Linked DNA regions of Lepisosteus oculatus. The protein of the gene in region 1 purifies or fractionates together with the protein of each later gene. This does not show direct contact. Links are inferred from orthologs where the notes say so. Each region holds a gene or a part of one and is shown on either strand. Other genes may lie near its edges.

Region 1 (7,797 bases):
ACTCCTCTTGTTGTCCCACTTTGTGGTCTTAATGTTATTTTATTTGGTGTACTGCTCACTGACAATCATTAACCCATGACTTAATTAGCCAGGTATACCAAGGTAAACTTTACAATTGCTTTTAATCAGGGGACCCCACATCTTGGCAAACATCCCCTTTGCTTTGTAGCCAAAAGTGTTTTCACTGCCAGGTGTCACAAACTTTCTAAACTCTTATAGACACTTCCTAGTCACCTATAGCTATAACAATATTTCCAATCATTATTTCCCTTTATTACTAAAGTAGCAATTAATACTTTTATACACATAACATCTTGCAAAAATTCAGAGCAATTAATTAAATAACATCAATTTCAATAACCATTGATCTAATTCAGGATTATGGAGGCGCAGTCTACAAAAATCAGCTACACCCTGGATGGGACACGAATAAATCACAGGGCACACATAGACACAATCACACTCATGCTCCACCTGGACCAATTCTTTACAGAAGCCAATTAACATACCAACATGTCTTTGAACTGTGGAAGGAAACTGAAGCACCCAGAGCAAACATAGGTAAAAACAGGTTGAACATGGAAACTCTACGCAGGTAGTGCCCTAGAAACTGAACCCAGACCCCTTACACTATGAACCAGCAATGCTTACTGCTGCTGCCCCCAAATTCAGAGCAAAAAAAAATAATAATCAAGAAGTAAATAAATAATACAAAAGGAATAGGTAAATGGAAAATTCAACCCCTTTTCTGTGGCAAACCTCCATTAAGGTGCAATAAATTAACTTAATGTGCCACACAATCAATTTAAAGCAAAGATTTAACCATGAAGACTAAGAAGCTTTCAAATAAACTTAGAGATAAAGTTGTAGATATGAACAGATCAGGAGAAGGGAATAAAAATATTTCAAGGTCTTTCTAGATCTGACTGTCCCTCCAAATTGAGCAGCCAGGCAAGGTGAAAACTGGTTAATGATGCAACTGCAATACAAATGGTGACTTTGATAGACCTACAGTACAGAGTTCAATGGTTTATATATGAGAAAATGTGCATGAGACAATACCCAGGTCACTCCAAAAATCTGTATTGAATGACAGAGAGGAAAACGCATCTTAAATCCCATTTGGAGTTTGCAACAAAGCATGTAAAGGTTTTGTGGTCCAACAAAAGATGAGAAAATTTGGTCTAAATGCAAAGTGTTACATTTGACACAAACACAACATTGCTCAGTTAAAACTATTCCATTTAGTCAAACATGGTGGTGGAAGTATTACGTTATAGTGTAGTTCTGCTTCTCATCTGGAGATACTGGGTAGCTTATCAAAGCTAATGTGTACATACTTTAAATGGAGCAATATATTGCTATCTTAAAGGAAAATGTGCTTCAGACCTAAAACTAAGACAAAAAATCATCTTTCAGCTGAATAATGATCCAAAGAACAATAGAGTGGCCCACTCAAAGACCCAATGTGAAACTTATTGAGAATCTTTGAATCTATGAACAGATATAAAAGCTGCTGTCCATGAGTAATCTCCAAGCAACTTGTGAGAGCTTAAGCAAATCTGCAAAAAATGGCCAAAAACTGATATTCAGCCATAATTGCTGCCAAAGGTGCTTCTACCATATATTGAGTTCAGTGGTCTGAATATTTAACACAGTCAACATATTCCAGTATTTCTCACTTTAGTTTTGCTAAACATTACTGTAACTTATCTTACCCTTAGAATTTTCCAGGTCTGAAACCTGAAATGATATTAAAAAAATTAAGTTTCAAATTTTGTCTGTAGTTTTGTAATTTCACAAAATGGGACACCATAGGAAGGGTTTGGTCTGTATACTTTACAAAACACTGTATCTTGCCTTGTATGCACTACACTGGATTCAAAGGACATAAGAAAATTTCACATTACAGAGCATAGTCAGGATAAGGTGTGGTAATTACAAATCACTTCTGGATGACACATATGTAACCACAGGCAGGCAGCAAAAACTATAATATTAAAGTAAGTATATTTTTCAAGCATGGCTGTAAATTTATGTTTTCTGTAATAGCAAATTACAAACATTGCCCTGGATTCACTCCCCCTGGACACCTGCACTCCTCGGACACACCCCCCGTCTCCTGACCCTTTTCCTGCATGACTATTTTCCCTATTGTATCCTCACAATTCCGGATCATGTCGTCCACATAATGCCCGGAAAGAACCGGATCGTGACGCAAACTACATGGAAGTCCATTTAAAACTGAAAAAGGGAGACACTTCTCTACCCATAGAGTCGTGGGAGAATAAGCTACCTAGCCATGTGCAGTAGTTGAAGCCAATACCCTGGTTTCTTTCAAAAAATGGCTGGGTGGGATCAATGAACTACTATCAACCAAATTGGACAGAGAGGCCAAAGGGCCTCCAATCATACAGTATGTTACCTTTCCTATGTATTTGCTGTAGTATGTTAATTAAATGCTTAAACACAAAGCCAGAATGTGTAAAAAAGTACTTTCTCTGATCTATTTATATATATGTAAACTTCTTTTTCTTATATTAATTACTGTATTGATTAATATGGGCTGTTTCACCCATAATGATTGGTATTGGCATTGGTTGTGTTTAATTCCTAAATTGTCTCAGTCATGAACATTCCTATCCCACCCACACAACCTTAGGTTTGCTGATCCACTATACTCAGTAATCAGTATTTTTAAACTTGTATTAACACGCATCACACAACAGACTGTGGCTCACAAGGCTTGAGGCCTTCATGCAAGAACACACTGTGCATTCCTTTAAAAAAGACATGAGGTATACAATACTATAAATGTAAAAACAACTGCAAAAATCAAATCGGACAGGTTTATACAATTGATCAGTTCTACATAATTTAATTTCCATTATCGCCATCCATTTCTTTTTCTTTAATGTGCATATGTTTCAGCTCTATTAATAATTTGAAATGATTTACTTGTTATGGAATGTAAAAGCAATTTAGTATGTTGTAAAGAAAAAAGCAACTCCTTCCATCTTAAGGTAATCTAATTATTGTATTTAAGCACAATTTTTCGATTGATACAAATAATAAATTACAAGGGAAACTTCTCATGTATTAATAATATCAGAAAGTTGTTTTAATCTTTTGGATTTCCCATATATTACAACAGCCAATTATGTTGATTGCTGTTACAATTATTCAGAAACGATTAAACTTGTATTATTACTCAAAAGAACATTCAATATATTCCCCTAAACCTATATAAAGTCTTCATTCTGGGAGGTCCTCTTTAGTTTTATGTTTTTACACATTTTGTAATTCTATGAATTGGTGTACAGTAATTTGCAGTTAATAGCCATATACAAACAGTACATACATATGCAGTCTTCTTCAGCGTTTTAGAATCTATTGTTAGATGATGTCCTTACTAAGACTTTTTTCTCAAACATCTCGTTTCAGTTAATCTCATCCGGTTGTCTCTAACCATTTTGCAGGAACTCTTCATGCTAATTTTTTATCTTGGAGAGTAGTTCGAATATTTCTCTGATCCCTAAAACAATTCATTCGTCTCGCTCTGTGTCCAGCTGTTGTATACTCTTATAGCTTATAGCTGTGCTATACTTTTTGTTTTACTTTTTCTTCTTGGTATTCAAAGTATTATTGAAATATAGCTGTGTTTTCTCTCTTCTCTTTTCAGCTTGGAATAAACCTATTACTTGTTCCTTTGCAGACGCAGCTACCCACCTTAAAATATAGCTGATCATTAGGGACTACCAGATGTAAAGTCAATAGCTTTGACGGTTTTCTTCTGACATTTAACAAGAATATATTTGTACAAAGTGTTTATGCCTATGTTTTACCTCCATTTTTGCAAGTAATTCATAACTGAGATAAAAGATCGATGTTTGCTCTGAAAATTAAAAGTATTAAATGGATACTTCTATATCTTTCAAAACAACCGTTTTGCATTCTACTCTTCAGGATTTCAATGTTATTTAAAGCCCCATACTGTTTAAGAAAGTCTAAACAAATATAACAAGGCACTCGTTTTATTATTTTTATGTAAAGGTTAGGTATTACAGTTTACAAATAACGCAGTATAGAACAAATACGTTTGTCCCACCTACAAATATTTGTCAATTGTTAGTTTATATGTCAGGTAAAAGACAGATTCCGACCGTCTTTAAAACTGAATGACCACTCCTTGAAACTGTCGAAAAAAATGCTGCTGTAACCACAGTCCAAGCACTTTATCGGCAAGGTGGTACTTTGTTGGTGACGTTAGGTTTTGAGGAAAAACACACCCCCTCACTAAAGCGGAAAACATGCAACTAAAGTTTATGAACCTTCAAGAAGTTTGTTAGAGTTCAGTCTGCTTAAGAATAGAGCAAGGAAACGCGCTACGACCACTTGAGCTATTTGGATTTCCTGATATTTTCCAGAGATTCTTCTTTGTTCACTTTGTGGAGTGTTGCTGTTATAGAAATGGATTTAATCAGGAGAAACATTCTATTAATTCTTCAGATAATTTTGAGTAAGTCAAGTTTTATACGTGTTTCTACATTTTCTTATGGTATAATACTTTAAAAGGTGAAATGATACAGCGCGTTATACTGTAGATTTTAATACGACAGACTTTTGTTTAACGAACATACATCCATGACTTGAACAGAATAAAGTTTCACAAAACTGGTAGTTAATATTTAAGCCTCAGTACATCTGCAGAATCTGCAGACAGATGTGTTTGCCCTTGGCTATGTTAGTCTGTTTAAAGATTTGACGCATATGTGCAGTAAATGTATCAATAGTGAATGTATACTGTTAATTTATTCGTCGTTTGATACATTAATGTCTATAGTGAATTTAACTGTCAAAGCCATCATATCTAAAAACATAATTGTGGCATTAGACATTTTATAAGGGTATGGTATATTTTGAAGTAATTTGAGTTTTTAATATATCATTTAAATGATGGGCACAATATTTTAATTGATGTGTTGCTTCTGAGTTGGCTTGCTAGCAAACCAGTTTGCAAGATAAATCCTGAAATGTGATAAGAGTACTGTGAAGGGCAGGAGATTCTGTTTGAATGCATTACACGGGAATCCATGCTATGTAAACAAAGGTTCTTAAAGTATTGTTTGCAATAATAAATGGGTTAAATCTGGTATCATGGCCAAATTCAGAACAGAGGCAAAGTCTAGCTAGCCTAAAGTCTTTTTAATGATCCAAATTAAAAGTACAGAAGTTTCATTAGAAAGACTGTTGTGAAGATATTTGGTATTCATGGTTCAATTAAGGTTCTATGTAGATTTTGTTTCTAGGCTATGTAAACCAGGAACTGCAGTTCCAGCTATTATTACCCATTATGCATTGTAGATCACCCTAAATTCAGAATTTATTTTGAAAAACAATACACTTGTGATGTACTGTTTCTGACATGAGCTTTGAATGACAATACAGTGTTAAAATAACACCAAGAGATCTGACTTCAGTAATGGGTTTAACTTTAGCACAACACTGAAGTTACCAACATTTATGTCAGAGAAGCTATATCTGAGTACGGGCACGGGGATAGGGTGTGCCTCTTGTAATAAATTTGGAATTTAAGTTATAATATAACAGTCTGACTGTAATCATTTACTGTATGTGTAAGACTGACTGCCTTAAATCCTATATAGGGCAGTTTATGTTTATAAGACTGTATATGAGCACTTAGTCCTAACTTCCTTCCTTTGTGCATCAGTTTATTGCAAACTCTTGTTAATACTCATTCATGGGATGTCAGGAGCCTAGTTAGGCTAAAGATGAGCACTTTATTCTACTACTGTATCAGAGTCACACGCATGCACAATTTATTAACTGATACTTTAGAAGTTTTGTACGAATTTTGTACGAATGAGATGTTGATATGAATAGGGGACAAGCTTGCCGACTGGGAAGTTGTATAATTTTATGTTAATCTGTTCACTAACCGACAAAAGCTGTGAAAGATATGGACCCACAGAACCATTCTAGCAATGCTATATTGCTATAATCAAATAAATGTACAAATCAGACATCAGTGATACTATGGCAGCTTATAAAGATAAGATTTCACATCAGCAGTTATTTTATATACAGTAGCTGTGCATATAAAAAATAAAACATGAAATTTAACATGAAAAAGCAACAAAGAAACCAATGATATAATGAAATTAATTAAATTATCATAACAATTTAAGGTTTGGCTAAAGCAATCTAAGCTGAAATGTAAAATGTCACATTCATGAAGAAATTGTCTATTTTACACTTTGTGGTTACAGATATTTGTAAATCAATTAATTGAGCTACTATTTAATAAAAAGAGAGGACACCTACACTTAACAACCTCTCCTTTCTGGCAGAGAATAAATGAGATCGTGTTAATATGCTCTCAGTTGCCTGTAATATCATTTTTTTGTTTTTGGTGTAATATGCTAAACACACATGCTAAGTGCATTTATATAGTTAATAACAGCATTATGAGTACATATACTCTATGTATATGTATCTGTATAAACTTCAGTGCGAGGCTATAAGTTACTGTATATCCTTGCATATTTTTTGCCTGGGAATGTTAATAAATAGAAATGCTAAGATGTTTGCCTATTGAATTTCTGACTTGCATACTGTATATGTAAAAGATCAAGTAATACTTTAATACTTTCATACTGAAAAGAGAAGAAAGAAAACACAATGTTGCGGCTGTGGAGCCTTCTTTGGGTGTGAGAAAGACTGGGCAGTCAGCAAAGATTAAATAGCATAGGACAGTTGTTCTGAAACTTTTTGGACCAAGTACAACCCCTGATCAAACCAAAGCATCCAAGTACCACCTACAAGTCATCTTCTCATAGGAACCCCAGAAATTCTCAATGACCAACATAAGCGTGCACGCGCACACACACTCATGCACACATATAATAAATATTATAATAATAAAATTTATTTGATTATAGTGCCTTTAAAGGTGGCTTCTTAAAGTGCTTTACAAAATGACAACAGGAACAATAATAATTAAAAATAAATGATAAAAAAGCACCATTTCAGCGAGAGGAGTGAGCCTGTTTAGTCGAGCAAAGCAGATGTGAATTCATTGGTCGAGCCTTGATACAATTTACAACAGAGTTTAACAGATTTCAAATCCTCTGGCATTTTCTTGACGGCCAAGGCTTCGCAGTGGGTGCTGCAGTGCGTCTACTTCATATCTGGAGCAAACTCTCTAATTCGTGCAACTACATCGCTGTGTCGGCTTGTCATCATTCAAGCACCATCTGTATAAACTCCGTGTCACGACCACCAGCCAGCGGAGATCATCTCGCAAAAGAACTAACCAGTACCAGCAGCGGGTTAATAATAATAACAAGCGCCGCCGCACGTGTTAATCCATCAGCATATACTCTACTGAGCAGTACTATTTAAACCATACTAACATGCTTTCTGCTGCTCGGTATTGAGTTAAGTCCCTGAGAGCTCTACCTGGCGATTCCTAAACCTTGTGTCACTCTGGATTTTGGACTACCCCTTTTGCCTTTTGACTTCTTACCTCGCCTCTTGATACAGATTGTTTGCCACCTGTGTTTGTCCTGAATTTCAACCTACCTTCTCCCTTTGCCCACGATCTCGCCTCTCGACTTGGATTGTTTGCCTCCGGTGTCTGTCTTGGATTTCGACCTTCCTTCCTCTCATTGACCACGATCTCACCTCTCGATTCGAATTGTTTGTTGCCGTGTCTACCAGCTACTCCTGCGGCTGCACAGGATCCATATCTCCCTATTAGTGTATCCTTACACT
Region 2 (8,014 bases), on another chromosome or scaffold:
GGATAACCAGAGCTAGGATGAGGACAGAAGCTAGATTTATTGTGTCGTCTAACCCCACACAAATCCCTTGGGGACCGTCCTGTAACTCCATAAATTGTACGACTCACTTTTTTTTTTCAGTTTCATCGTTTGGTTGCAAATGATCACATACCATTCCATTTCTTACTACAGAAATCATAACCTTTCATAGTCCCCTAAATCCTTCTTTCTAATCAAAAGATAAACATAAGAAATGTCTGCTTTCTTCACTGTGTTAAAGGCACTATGAAAAGTCTGTCTCACGACAACCAATGCCCTTCAAGATATTGTGTCAAAAATGGTAAAACAGAAGACTGCCTTTTAATAGTTTCATTTAAAGAAGTCAGCCGAAAAAATATATAATAAACATTAAAGAGGAAATAAATTCAATCTTTCACTCAAACAGTAAACAAGGCGGACTAGGATATGACTAAATATCAGTCTGGACGCAGAGGACAAAAAATGTATTGCGGAAAATGACTGTTCCTACAGCATATGAATTATTTATGTTCTCCTGAGAAAGATAACCACATGGCGACAATATTTATATTCGGAAATAGCACTGCAGATACTTGATAAATGCTTGTAGCTCGCAGTTCTGCTAATCATTTACAGATGCGCCTTACTGCAACATATAGAGTAACACACCCTTGAGCTATGCTGTACTTTGGAAATGAATAAGCAAGGGGGCACACCTAGCCTGGCACAGTTTCATGCACAGTGGCTGCAACCACAAGCATCCGGCGCCCAAATATGTTAGCCCTGAGGTGATCACCGGGTACTCTCGTTAACCAACCAACTGCTGGGAAAAAGACATCAATACCTTAGCCACGGTGCGGCAGTTTATCCTGTCGGGAATTACACCGACAGTGTACAGTGCTTATGTATATAATTTAAACAACGACAGAAACAACACAATTTAACCTGTGAGAAAGGCCATGTTGCAGCATAAGACAACAAGGCTTGTGAGAGTCTAAAAAAAGCTACCCTGTCGGGCTTTTAAAGCCAATATCAAGAACCCTCACATAAATTAGCTACTCACTACCAAACAAGCAAGAGGGGCCAAATGGCTTCCAGATTACAAAACAAATTATGGTCAGGAGTGAGAAGATCTTCGGCCTACTACCTAAATGATTACCAGGTGTTTCTATGTGCCATGATAAATTACATATTATAACACCTAATTAAATACCGAGTTCAGAAACATGAAAAAAGTGTCATATTTAAAAACAAGAGAGCCCATTTTTGAAGCGTATATACAATGGACATTACACCTCTAAGGCCAAAGACCCAGGCAGTCATTGTTCCAAAGTTTTTTTACAGTAAACCAAAATAACTAAAGTATCTTTGGTTTATGTGTATTCTGCACATCTGATAAGGCAAAGATCATTCCACCTCAACTTCAGGAAGACAAAGCTTAACTGAGTGGTATGGAGAAAGTGAAAATTGACCACATGGTCAGACTTCTATGGAGCAAAACCGGTGCTACATACAGCAAGACTACAGTAAGAAGTTTAGAGCTACTGAAACCCCTGATCCTGAGACCCCAGCGATAAGGAAGTGGTCTAACTAAGCCGCATGTCTTCCTAACCACCGCGTTTGTTTTCGCAATGAGGTCAGTCTGCCGAAATAAAAAAGGTGAGATCTAACCACTTTTACGGCGAGCGTTTCTACTTTTTTTAAGGCAGAAAATTCCGAGCGTCGAGTTAAACGTGGGATACAAAAATCCAGCCTCTCCGTCTAACGCTCCCTTAAAATTAAAAACCGAAAATGCCACGTTCGAGTATCCTCAAACGGGTACGTTCCCGAGAGTGTTTTTCCCCCCCGGAACAGTCAGCTCGCCTTATTTGTCAGTGCTTTAAGTGCCAAGAATAACTCGAGAGCCTGCTCCTTGGGCCGTCCGGACGCGCCATCTCCTTTGTGCTCTCCCAGCCGCCTGGCATCGCCTAAATAAGAGGTTTGAAAAAATAGCCGCAGAGCTAAGCTCAAACCTCAATCGGAGCACTGTTGCTGGCTAACGAGGCACTCCCTAAATTAGCTGTAGCCAGAGGCTATTACTTTCAGAAAAAACGCGTAAAAACGTAGTAAAACGCTGCATTTCAACCATTTACTAATTCGAGATGTATTCGCAAAAAGAGGGGGAAACAAGCAACGCCTGTAAAAGGACATTTCACAAGTTTGAGGGGAAAAAAAGAAAACCCTGTCCATAGGGGCAAATGTAAAACACACATCCCAGTTTCCCTCTGGAAACTTATTACTGCAGGGCAGGTCAAGATCTTTCATTCGTATACTTCGCGGAAAACACTTGATGGGGTTTACAAACATGAAGTGAATCGAGGCGAGAAGCCAGTCTGTCGTCTTTTTTTTTTTTTTGTGGCGTTATCCGGGGATCGGCTCCCGAAGAAAGACTTGGTCTCTCCCTGCTGTTCTCCGCCGGGAATGCGGGCCCGGGCCAGCGCCTCCCCGATACCGGATAGCGGATGTACTCACCCCATACAGACAGTCGATACAACACAGGGGGGAAAGCTGCAATATTGCACTAACGACACAGTTTTATCCCACAATACTTTTAACCACCGTAGAATCGGCGTTTACGGCTCTTCCACCCGCCCACCCCCACCGCAAAATATACAAATCACATTCCAGGACTTCAGGGCAAGAAGATTTGTGCAGACATGCGCCCGAGTTCAACACAAAGCCCCGCATAAAACCCACCATGACATTTTCATTCACACGGCAAATATGTATATAACACACCAGGTATGCATCACTGGCTTACGAGTTTACAAGACGAAAACTCATATCCATACAAGCACTTTAAGCAGACATTGACACCTCCTTACCTTAAAACGCATTGAACGAACCTAAACCATTCGTTTTTAATGCAGCATATGTGGAATCGATGGTCCTTCGCACTTCTTTCAAAAATATCCAGCTGATCTCTCCCCTTTACTACAAAAAAACAAGCTTTAGTTCTCTACTTTTCTCAAACAAACAAAAAATGTGTCCCCTTTGTCTTCTTATTCCATTTTACACCCTTCAGACGAAAAGACTCTTTACCTACGCCCAACAACACGATCTGGTTATTAAGAAAACTGTATTTTTTAAAAAAGTTACAAAATCCCCACACGATGAAAAATGACCTTAAAGCCGTGCTAACCCCCTCCCACGATTACAAGAAAGAGAGGAGGCCATCCTCTGTATTTCGACCCGCCCCCACAGGAAATACCGAACACGTCATCGTTGGACAAGCTCGACCTGTACGCATTCGCTATGAGCTCCGCTAGGTTTGTCCTTGGGAAAACTCGGAAATCTGGGTACGCGCATGTAACAGCCAAAATTCTGCATTTCATTGTAGCTGTAAATGCGCATAACCTCAGTTCAGTTGCTCTTACATCATTATGGTATGATTCTGATTGAAAATATGAAGTGAAAATAATAGATTCACTATCCGGTTACCGTATAAATTGCTGTGCCTAGTGTTGTATCTGTTATTGTATTATGTTAACTTCTTTATTTAATCACTCTGCATTGGGTATTTTTTGCGATTTTTCTTGGTCCTCCAAACCAATAAAGCAACAAATAAAAGATAAAGCAACAGTGAGAGTGATCAATCGGAATATGACACACCATGCTGTATACCAATCTTGCACTTCTTAATATTCTTGGAAATATAGGTTTTGTTGTAATTCAAAGCAAACACGTTTTCTAATAAGAACTCCTTACTTTTGTATGTGTTTTTTCCCAAAAGAGTATGTTTAATCAATTTCATCAATTTTCCTATGGGATTAATAAAGTATTATCTATGTTTACATATTTGAGGGCAACAGTTTAATCTACCACTGCGAGGCCAGCAGGGGGCGCTCACCCTGCAGTCCATATGGGTCCTAATGCCCCAGTATAGTGACGGGGACACTATACTGTAAATAAGCGCCGTCTTTCGGTTGAGATGTAAAACCGAGGTCCTTACTCTCTGTGGTCATTAAAAATCCCAGGGTGTTTCTCGAGAAGAGTAGGGGTGTAACCCCGGCGTCCTGGCCAAATTCCCCATGTCTCCTAATAATCCCCCTCTATGAATTGGCTACATTACTTTGTTCTCCTCCCCCCTCTGACGGCAGGCAGAGCGACGCGCCGGTTGGAGTATTCTCGGTCGCATTTAACGGCAACGTCAGCTCAAAGATTAGGTTCAAACCACCAAATGGAGACAGGGGTGCCAACAAGCGGACCCTGCTGATGCGGGATTAACGCTAGGATGAGAGAGGAGAGTTTCATCTACCACTGCAGTGCAGTGCTCATGTTGACTCATGGCAGCCATTATGTGTTAGCAGTCCCACTACACAGCTGATGAAGAAGTCTCACTCAGTGTGCCATTTGATCTTTAATGATCAAGAAGTCAGGAGCTCAGTTTAACATCTCTCCCTAAGGATGATACTTCCTTCAGCACAGTGGCCACACAGAAGCATTGGATAGGAAATTCTGTTGCTCAAGGAACAGAACTGCCCACCGGGCTATGAGTGTCCTTTTGTTCCCTAGAGGTCGTTTTCCATCCTAATACTGAGCAAACCCAACCCTGCTTCGCTTTTGAAATCTTATAAGATCATGTTAGCAAGCAGCAATTCTTCCATAAAGAGAAAAAAAAGACTCCAAAACCATATTCATTTATTCTGGTTACAATATGTTTTACTCGTACTCTCGTAAGTCAAAACAGTGTCACAAATTGTGATACGTTTTACCTTTTGCAGTGCTTTGTTGTGTTTCTTTTCTTCTCTTTTCAGCGTGGAATAAACCTTTACTTGTTCCTTTACTGTGTATGTCAGTGTGTTTCTTATTTATTCACCGGGAAAAGAACCCAAGACATGAACTTTAGAACATCTATATTGTAGTGTATACTCTATACCCAGCATAGTACAATAGATTTCTCCATTCATACTGTATACTCTTGGAACTAAGAAGTGTAAACATTAAGGCATTTTGTTTTTCCATTTTGACCTACTTGTATAACAGTTCTCATTCTAGAAATGTTGTGATTCTTTATCTTAAGTTTCAATTGCAATTCATATCTTAAAAATCCCTCTTCACTGTTTCCTTTAAAATGAGATATTTGATGTTGATATCTTTGTTCTTCCTACTTCTGCCTCGCCCATAATTGTTTATATAGCAACCTTTTTTTTTAGTCTGGTGAAAATTGTCCATTCTCCAGAATGCAAAAGACTAACTTACAAGATGTTGCTTTCTTAGAAACCCTTTCTTATGAAGCGCAACAGCAATAATGGATAGAAACTGAGCTTATGGTATCATCCATTTGTAATTTCAGAAGGTTGTCGAAAACGATCATAAAAGATAAATTCTTAAATTGCATATGACAAAGATTCAAGGTAATGCATGTACTTTGAGTAAGAACTGGTGAATAGGCAGGAAACAGAGATTAGAGCTAATTGGTAAATGCTCCAATTGGAGTACCTCAGGGATCAGTATTTGGAGCCCCAGTTTTCCTCAATTATGTCAGTAATCTCAATTCAGTTCTAGTTAGTGAACTAATTCAGACAAAACACAATGGTTCATCTTCATGTTTCGCCTTCTTCATGTGTGAAGGAGAAGGCTGGAGAAGGCTCAACTGCTGAAATGTTGTGTTTCTTCTTTCTACTCATCAGTGTGGACTAATCTTTTATTTGTTCTGCACATACTTTTGAATTGCTGTTCTCAGTCTCATTCCTCTGTTCCTCCCCTAAAACCAAATTCTTTGTGCTTTTGTAATACAGTACAGATGTATTTCCTAACACTTTTACTTCAAGCTCTCAGGACATCATAGATGCCCCCCTTGTTAGTATGAAGCATGCTAGCATGGAATTATCTTCAAGCAAATAACATTTTCTTGTGTGAACACTTTAATAGTGATATAATTTGGGTGGAAATCAATTGCATGCTTCAAAACACATTATGATCAGTTTGACCCTTCTAGACTACTGTATATTGTCTCCATTGCTTATTTACAACTGGCACAAAGTCAGTGTGACAGGAGTTGCATGTCATCACAAATGAATCCCTTTCTTCTCATTACAAACACAACTTCACATGTTGCAAAACATTAAAAAGTAATCAGTAGCAACAAACCAGAACTTTTCTGGAATTTAATGCTGATGATAATGATGATTCCACATCTGGTTATGTCATTTTTGTAATATTACATGTGGTTTACATTTTATTTTTGTCTTCTGTGGTTCATTTGTTGCCCAGGTTAACTGTTCTTTGACTACCTGGGCTGTGTTTATTTACCTTACCCTAATTCTGTCAAATTCTAACTGTGCTGTCAGATAAAGCAGCTGCAGTACAGCTGGATTCCATTGGTGTGGTCCGATGAAGTACTTCTAGCTGCTATCTGAATTCTATTAGTATAGTCTGATGAGACAGCTTTAGCTCCCACCTGAATTCTACTAGTGAAGGTTGAAGAAGCTTTTATAAGATTATTATAGTTTATTGCTCTGAGCAGTTTTTGGATAGTACCTTGTTTTCTCTTGACATTGGAGACACATTGGCATTTCACAATATTACACATGTATAAAACATACCTCGGAAAAATACGAATTTCAGATGCTGGCTCTGTAGCTTACTCAAATTGTGCAGTACAGATAATTAAGAGTAGAGAACTATATACTGATGGAAAAAAGAAATGCAACACCTCCTCCTCTACACTCTGGCCCTCCCGTCTGCGTGGAACAGACTGAAGAGTGGCTCATCCATGAAGAGGACCTGATGCCGCTGCTGACAAGTCCGTTGCAGCCTCTGTCTGGCCCAAGCCAGTCGGGTGTGATGTCTAGGAGGTGTGAGCGGAGGGCCTCTGACAGGTTGCCTTGATCTAAGCAGCATGGAGCCTCACTGCCCTGTCATTGATGCGGGCATTGTGTCTGCCGGCAGTTTCAGCAGCAGTACGGTTTGCAGATCTGAAACAATCTCTCAGATGGACCAGTCTGATGTATCGGTCCTGCTCTGGCGTGGTCACTCGAGGGCGACCAGGTCTTGGACTGTCATCTGTCCTCCTGGTCTGCTGAAACCTTCTCTGCAGTCGGGACACAGTGGAGCGGCTTACTCCATGGTGTCTGGCAACGCTGGCACATGACATGCCTGCCTGCAGCATGCCAATGGCCCTCTCCCTTGCTTCTGGTGACATTCGAGGCTTTATTGAATGCACAGAAAACTGACTAAGTGTGGCCTTTTTCTTGCAGTGACCTAAGCTTTGAATTAATGCCTTTTTCAAGGTGACCTGATCAGGCATTGTTCCACGTGGACCTCGTTGGGTAAAAATACTCCTAACGAGCTTTTGTGTGATTGGCAAGTTGCAACGCCTCACTGCACAAGCTGTATTGCTGGTCAGAGGGCTTAAAACAAATTGACACCTTTTTGTGAAAGTACATAAACTATAACTTTAGTATTCTCATTCCACAAAATGTTGCGTTTCTTTTTTCCATCAATATATATTATTTTGTTCATCCAAGCACATGTGATACTGTTACGTTTCCACTTAATTTAACCATGAATGGCATTTTCTGACCCTTTTTATAGTGAAGAGGTAAAATACATAGATTTCTCTATGTAGAGACTGAGTAATATTAACACCAAATGTTAGTACACAACCTTTTGAAATAAGAAAATAAGAATTACAGCTCCGCTCAAGTTGCAGAATGAGTAGAATAGATGTTCAACAAGGTAACATGATTGAAGGGAAAGATAAATAACAGACATACAGTAATTAGGGCTTTAGAACTCACAGTAGGACATGAAAGATGTTTTTGTAGCTGACATCAAGCAATAGCTAGATTTATATTTCAGTGTCTATTTCAGTGTAGACGATGCAGGAATCGCAGGTGCAGAGCAAAGAGATGTGGTTTGAGAAGGCACCAATGATAATCTGTTTTGATGCCAGCAGATAGCTGGTTTTACTAGGGAAATGAGCACTGGTTAGCCACAGTCTTCATTCAGAAGTGAAAGAGGAAGGACATGG

The links.
Region 2: the proteins of itga2.2 (region 1) and integrin beta-1 purify together in Homo sapiens (co-immunoprecipitation; 3 studies listed by BioGRID and IntAct, with this or other methods). This does not show direct contact. The link is inferred for Lepisosteus oculatus from reciprocal best matches to the Homo sapiens genes ITGA2 and ITGB1.

Annotation. Positions count from the first base shown.
Region 1 is NC_090698.1:38,755,723-38,763,519, reverse strand, and holds the start of itga2.2 (integrin alpha-2), read left to right. Parts: upstream 1-4,317; 5' UTR 4,318-4,470; coding exon 4,471-4,519; intron 4,520-7,797. UniProt on the Homo sapiens protein: Integrin alpha-2/beta-1 is a receptor for laminin, collagen, collagen C-propeptides, fibronectin and E-cadherin. It recognizes the proline-hydroxylated sequence G-F-P-G-E-R in collagen.
Region 2 is NC_090701.1:39,146,960-39,154,973, reverse strand, and holds the start of integrin beta-1, read right to left. Parts: upstream 3,230-8,014; 5' UTR 2,874-3,229; coding exon 2,862-2,873; intron 2,604-2,861; exon of another isoform or gene 2,509-2,603; intron 1-2,508.